2 linked regions of the Canis lupus familiaris genome follow. The protein of the gene in region 1 purifies or fractionates together with the protein of each later gene. This does not show direct contact. Links are inferred from orthologs where the notes say so. Each region holds a gene or a part of one and is shown on either strand. Other genes may lie near its edges. The genes, in order: TEFM and KBTBD7.

Region 1 (2,654 bases):
TAATTAAACCAGCCTTTTTGTTTTAGGCAGTTACTAGTATAGTATCCATTGTTTTTGGAACTCGAAGAATTGCTTGGGCTCACTTGGATCGTAAATTGGCAGTGCTGGACTGGCAGCAGAATGACTGTTGCCAATTGATGAAAGGAACATACTTATCATCTGTCTATTTACAAAAGGTAAAGCAGCTGCCCCTCTAGATTTCTGCCTGCTAGATATCTCCTTGTGTGGTTTAACCTTCTAGTCCTAAAGGGAATCTAATGTAATACTACAGATAGATTTCCTTTGGGTTATTATTACCCATTCTTTTTTTCTTTTTTTAAATTACCCATTCCTGTCATGTTTTCTGTCACCTATGATTTTTAAAATTTGAATCTTCTTCATTTAGTTCATGAAATACCTTAATATATCAAAGGCAGATACTGAGAAAATTGGTGGTAAAGTACATTATCCTAAATATTACAGGACTTCATCACTCTATTTATAAAGCTTATTTTAAATTTTTTAAAAGATTTTGTTTATTCATTTGAGAGAGAGAATGTGTGTGCAGGAGGAAGGGCAGAGGGAGAGGGAGAAGCAGACTCCCCTGCTGAGTAGGGAGCCCAGCCCGATGTGGAGCTTGATCCCAGGACCCTGAGATCATGACCTGAGCCGAAGGCAAATGCTCAACCAACTGAGCCACCCAGGCACCCCTTATTTTTCATTTAAAAAAATATATATATTTACTTTAGAGAGACAGAGCAAGGTTGGGGGTAGGGAGATAGGGAGAGAATCCTAGAGCAAATGTGGGGCTCAATTCCAGGACCCTGAGATCGTGACCTGAGCTGAAATCAAGAGTTAGACGCTTAGCTGAGTGAGCCACGTAGCTGCCCCAAAGCTTATTTTTCAGAATGCTCACTAATTGTCTTATTGGAGTCTTCAAAACCTTGTGAGATGGGCAGTAATTACCATCCTGATTACATATATGAAAACTGGTATAATCAATCAGGGCATCTGACAGGATTGTAGGCTAGGTATTTTTTTTCTTATGTAGGGTCCACACCCAGCGTGGAACCCAACATAGGGCTTGAACTCACAACCCTGAGGTTAAGACCCAAGCTGAGATCGAGTCAAACATTCAACCCACTGAGCTACCCAGGCACCTCTGATGGAGGCTAGTTATTCTAACCCTATGCTCTACTCTACATATTTTTAAAAGGTTAATAAACATTTTAAATTGTCTAATCTTAAAGTCAGTAGATTTTAGAAATTTTGAAGTCCATTTTACAGATGAAGAAACTAGTACTTGGGAGGACTAAGTGATTTGCCTTAGCTCAGTTTATTCCAGATAGAACCATGAGCAGAACATGGCTGTCCTGACTTCTCCATAAAATTATTTTTCAGTTTTCAAAAACAGTAATAGTATAATGTACATTATGTATTTTAAAAATAGAAATGGGAGAAGGAACCCAAACAACAAAACTTAATTATTTCTATTCACTTATTTTTTTCTTTTTTTTTTTTAAAGATTTCTTCAGTCATTTCAAAGATACCTACAGCTGACTTCTACGTTCTGGAAAAAATAGGGCTTTCAATTCAGAACACATCTCGGTTTCCCCTACTGTTACATTTTCATATCATGGAAGCCATGCTGTATGCCTTATTAAACAAAACGTTTGCCCAGGATGGCCAGCATCGGGTGCTGAGCATGAATCGAAATGGAGTGGGGAAGCACTTTGAACTGATGATTGGGGACACACGGACTAGTGGAAAAGAGCTGGTGAAGCAGCTCCTCACAGAGTCTGTTCTGAAGGAAGACCCTCGGGTCGTCTTCCCTAAGGAGAAGATTGTACGCTACAGACAGATGTTTTCATCTACTGAGCAAAAGAGAGCAGAAGAGTTATATGATTCCCTATTACAAGCCGTTGCCTTCTATGAATTAGCAGTTTTTGACACCGAACCTTAAAATGCTGAGGTTAATATAAAGAACTCTGATGTTATATTAATTTATATTTATTAGCTCTAAAGCCATAAAGCCAACTGTTTTTAACATCCATGTTTATGGAGAAGAAAACATGTTTGTATTTGGATGTTTAAAGTCAGACTTCCAGCTGTTGAATTGTTCACAGAATAAGCCAAGTCAATAAATACCTTAAGAGATTCTGAACCTTTTGGGTTTATGTGTTAAAAGTAAGAGGTCTCCTAAACAGACCAAACAAGAAAGTTATTCCCCCTGAAAAGCTAATTCCATCCTATACTAAAGGATTCGCATCATTAAAGGAGGGAAAATGACTTTTCTGGGTGGAATTCATCATGGGAATAACACTAAATATAATCAGGAACACAATTTATGAAATTCTGTTAATTCTGTAAGTAGTATGTGGTTTGATGTACTACTTCCAAAAGGTGATTTTCATTAATTCTATCAGGCCCAGAACAAACAAGCTTTGTCTAATAGGTTCATTTTTTTCACTTCAAAATATTTTACTTGGACAGACCAACTTTTTTTTTTTTTTTTTTTTTTTAAAGATTAGGGGAGAGAATCCCAACCAGACTCCATGTTAGGCATGGATCCTGACTTGGGGCTTGACCCTAGGACTCTGAAATCACAATCTGAGTCAAAACCAAGAGTCAGGGGCTTAACTGACTACACCATTCAGGCACTCCTAGATAAACCA
Region 2 (4,350 bases), on another chromosome or scaffold:
AATCTTAAAAAAAAAATACTGGATAACCCAGGGGGCTCAGCAGTTTAGCGCTGCCTTTGGCCCAGGGCCTGATCCTGGAGACCCAGGATTGAGTCCTACATTGGGCTTCCTGCATGGAGCCTGCTTCTCTCTGTGTGTGTGTGTCTCATGAATAAATAAAATCTTAAAAAAAAAAACAAAAACAAAAAAAAAAAAACTGGGGCATGCATGAATACAGAGCTCTGAGGTCTGTTTGTTTAAATCTTTTAATCTACAACTCCCGTTTTTATCTCCTTGATAAAGATAACTACATAATCTTAGGCTGATTTGTGGAGAGGAAGGGAAACGAGCAGTATTAGACCAAAACATTCCTGCTAAAAGGTTACGAAAGGGCTTCTGGGTGGCTCAGCCGGTTAGGCGCCTGCCCGGGGTCCTGGGATCCGGCCCTATCAGCAGGGAGCCTGTAATCTCCCTCCCCCTCTGCCTGTCACTCCCCTGCTTGTGCATTCTCTCTCTAATAAGTAAATAAAAATCTTAATTTAAAAAAAAAGAAAAAAAAGCTTATGAAAGTAATCCTGCTCCCCCTGCGTAAATATTGATTTGGTGAGAGGTCAGCCCAGCTATGCATGTGCCTGAGCTGCCTGTTAGAGGCCTGAGCTGTATGTCAGAGGCCTGAGCCGCACGTCGGAGGCCTGAGCCGCACGTCGGAGGCCACCTCTCAACGCTGTTCGCCAGGACCTCATCCTTGTCCACGACACCCTAACGAACCTGTGGATCTCATTTAGTTCTGAAAAGATGGTGGTAGCCTTCAGAAGAACCCTTCAAAAGAAGCAACAGTAAAATTAAGATTCCTCACACAAATCGCTCACGGCTTCGCACGCGGGCACATTTTTAAAAACGCATTGGGAGACGCCACCAGTGGCTGAATCTGTATATTCCAGGCACTTGCAAGCATGTGATTAATCAGCAGGTATTCGCTGAAGCATCCTGGGACCTGCGCAAATCCACCTCGCTCCCACTCTCACATAATCCTATGAAAACTCGTATCCCCCGCTTTACAAAGAGGGGAAAGTTCTCAGAGAGAAGACCAATACCAAAACGGAGATTTTTTTTTTTTTTAAATAAAAAAGAACATCAAAGCCAAAGCTCTAAAACCAACAAACCCAGATTAACGCTTTTTCGAATTCTGTCAGCTAAAAGTCCGCCCGCCCGGAGAAACCTCGCGATATTCCTCGAACTACCACTCCCAGCGTGCACAGCGGCTCCGGCCCGCCCGCCGATCCCCTGGAGTCTGGAGGGGCCCCGGCATGCCTCGGGGCGCGAAAGGCAGCCTGGGAGCCGTAGTTCCGCTGGACGCCTACCGGTATTGCCAGCGCGGCAGTGGCGGCTCTCTCGGTTCCGTCCAGCCGGGTTCTGTAAGGCGAGCTGAGGCGGAGAAAAGGGCGCGGAACTGGAAGCGGGTGAGTCAGGCGCTGGCTACGCGATAAAGGGAGGCGGCACCGCGGCGCGGGGCTGAGTTGGGTAAGTGCGGCCCCTGCAGTCTCTTCAGGGAGAAGGCGAGGAGAGGGCGAGGAGGAGCCCGCGCCCGGTCCGTGCACCCGTTCTCGCCCTCGTACCCCGCCGCCATCTCCACCATGCAGTCCCGGGAAGAGGCTCCGCGCCCCCGCCGCCTGGCCAGTCCCCGCGGCGGCAGGCGGCCCAAGAGGATCTCCAAGCCCTCGGTCTCGGCTTTCTTCACGGGCCCGGAGGAGCTGAAGGACGCGGCTCACTCCGCAGCCCTCCTGGCGCAGCTCAAGTCCTTCTACGACGCGCGGCTGCTGTGCGACGTGACCATCGAGGTGGTGACGCCCGGCAGCGGGCCCGGCACCGGCCGCCTCTTCCCCTGCAACCGGAACGTGCTGGCGGCCGCGTGTCCCTACTTCAAGAGCATGTTCACGGGCGGCATGTACGAGAGCCACCAGGCGAACGTGACCATGCACGACGTGGACGCCGAGTCCTTCGAGGTGCTGGTCGACTACTGCTACACGGGCCGCGTGTCGCTGAGCGAGGCCAACGTGCAGCGCCTGTACGCGGCCTCCGACATGCTGCAGCTCGAGTACGTGCGGGAGGCCTGCGCCTCCTTCCTGGCCCGCCGCCTCGACCTGGCCAACTGCACCGCCATCCTCAAGTTCGCCGACGCCTTCGACCATCATAAGCTGCGATCCCAGGCCCAGTCCTTCATAGCCCACAATTTCAGGCAGCTCAGCCGGATGGGCTCAGTAAGGGAGGAGAGCCTGGCGGATCTGAGCTTGGCCCAGCTGCTGTCCATCCTGCGCCTGGATAGTCTAGACATCGAGAGCGAGCGGACCGTGTGTCACGTGGCCGTGCAGTGGCTGGAGGCGGCTCCCAAGGAGCGCGGACCCAGCGCTGCGGAAGTCTTCAAGTGTGTCCGCTGGACACACTTCAGAGAAGAGGATCAGGATTACCTGGAGGGGCTGCTGACCAAGCCCATTGTGAAAAAGTACTGTCTGGACCTTATCGAGGGGGCCCTGCAGATGCGCTATGGTGACAAGCTGTGCAAGGCTCTGGTGCCCAAACCAGATAGCAGCAGCAGCTGTGTTGTGCCCACAGCAGAAAACCCACCCCAGAGGCTGGGTATGTGTGCCAAGGAGATGGTGATCTTCTTTGGACATCCCCGAGATCCCTTTCTGTGCTACGACCCATACTCAGGGGACATTTACACCATGCCATCCCCTTTAACCAGCTTGGCTCACACCAAGACTGTCACTTCCTCAGCTGTCTGCGTCTCTCCAGACCATGACATCTACCTGGCCGCGCAGCCCAGGAAGGACCTCTGGGTGTACAAGCCAGCCCAGAATAGTTGGCAGCAGCTGGCCGACCGCCTGCTGTGCCGGGAGGGCATGGATGTGGCCTACCTCAATGGCTACATCTACATTTTGGGTGGGCGAGACCCCATTACCGGTGTTAAACTGAAGGAAGTGGAGTGCTACAGTGTCCAGAGAAACCAGTGGGCACTGGTGGCTCCTGTACCCCATTCCTTCTATTCGTTTGAACTAATAGTGGTTCAGAACTATCTTTATGCTGTGAACAGTAAGCGCATGCTCTACTATGACCCGGGCCACAATACATGGCTGAACTGTGCTTCTCTTAAACGTAGTGACTTTCAGGAAGCCTGTGTCTTCAATGATGAGATCTACTGTATCTGCGACATCCCGGTCATGAAGGTCTACAACCCAGCCAGGGGAGAATGGAGGCGGATTAGTAATATCCCCTTGGACTCAGAGACCCACAACTACCAGATTGTCAATCATGGCCAAAAGTTGCTCCTCATTACTTCTACCACCCCTCAGTGGAAAAAAAACCGGGTGACTGTTTATGAATACGATACTAGGGAAGACCAGTGGATTAATATAGGTACCATGTTAGGTCTTTTGCAGTTTGACTCTGGCTTTATTTGCCTCTGTGCTCGTGTTTATCCTTCCTGCCTTGAACCTGGACAGAGTTTTATCACTGAGGAAGATGATGCACGGAGTGAGTCTAGTACTGAATGGGACTTAGATGGATTCAGTGAGCTGGACTCGGAGTCAGGAAGTTCAAGTTCTTTTTCCGATGATGAAGTCTGGGTGCAGGTGGCACCTCAGGGAAATGCACAGGATCATCAGGGTTCTTTGTAAATATTTTGAAGCACTAAGATGTTTCTACTTCTATGGAATGTATCTTTAAAAGATATCCCTTCCTTTTCATGAAAAAAAAAATGTTGATTAGGACTGCAGATTTGGTTTAGAAAGGGTAACATTTGAATTACTAATGTAATGTTACAAAGTTAAACAGTCCATGAAATCAACCTATATGATAATTTATTATGCTAAAAGTCAAGATTAAAATATGCAAAAACAAACTATGTAACTGATTAGAATGCTTGGTGGTTTCTTGGTTGTTCGAGTATTTGTTGCACCAGTGGATTGTTTTGGTTAGTTTACACTGTTTATATTTTGATTATCTACGTTTGTCTTCTGTTAACGTTTTAATTCAACTTAGTGCCACAAGGAATTTAACTTTTTAATTTTTATAGTAGAAAATTGAACTAGAAATTGTTGGTAGGGTTTTGAAGGTTGTATTTTCTTTTAGAATAATGAAAGTAGTAGATTTCCCAAATTTTGAACTAGCCAGTTTCTAGTATTATAAGTTACTATCGTTTCTATCGTTTGTTAAATTTGGTGTGGTTTTCTCCCCTTCTGCAAAGAAAAAAAATTGGTTATATATATATATATATATATATAAATATATACATCCATCCAAATAGGGATTTCATTTTGATAATGTGCAGAATGGTCTTAAGAGCTCACAGAAAGTAAAAAAAAAAAAAAAAAA

What was found.
Region 2: the proteins of TEFM (region 1) and KBTBD7 purify together in Homo sapiens (co-immunoprecipitation; 5 studies listed by BioGRID and IntAct, counting the BioPlex papers as one, with this or other methods). This does not show direct contact. The link is inferred for Canis lupus familiaris from reciprocal best matches to the Homo sapiens genes TEFM and KBTBD7.

Annotation. Positions count from the first base shown.
Region 1 is NC_049230.1:40,837,683-40,840,336, forward strand, and holds the end of TEFM (transcription elongation factor, mitochondrial), read left to right. Parts: intron 1-26; coding exon 27-176; intron 177-1,504; coding exon 1,505-1,942; 3' UTR 1,943-2,143; downstream 2,144-2,654. UniProt on the Homo sapiens protein: Transcription elongation factor which increases mitochondrial RNA polymerase processivity. Regulates transcription of the mitochondrial genome, including genes important for the oxidative phosphorylation machinery.
Region 2 is NC_049243.1:9,372,668-9,377,017, forward strand, and holds the start of KBTBD7 (kelch repeat and BTB domain-containing protein 7), read left to right. Parts: upstream 1-1,330; 5' UTR 1,331-1,613; coding exon 1,614-3,653; 3' UTR 3,654-4,350. UniProt on the Homo sapiens protein: As part of the CUL3(KBTBD6/7) E3 ubiquitin ligase complex functions as a substrate adapter for the RAC1 guanine exchange factor (GEF) TIAM1, mediating its 'Lys-48' ubiquitination and proteasomal degradation.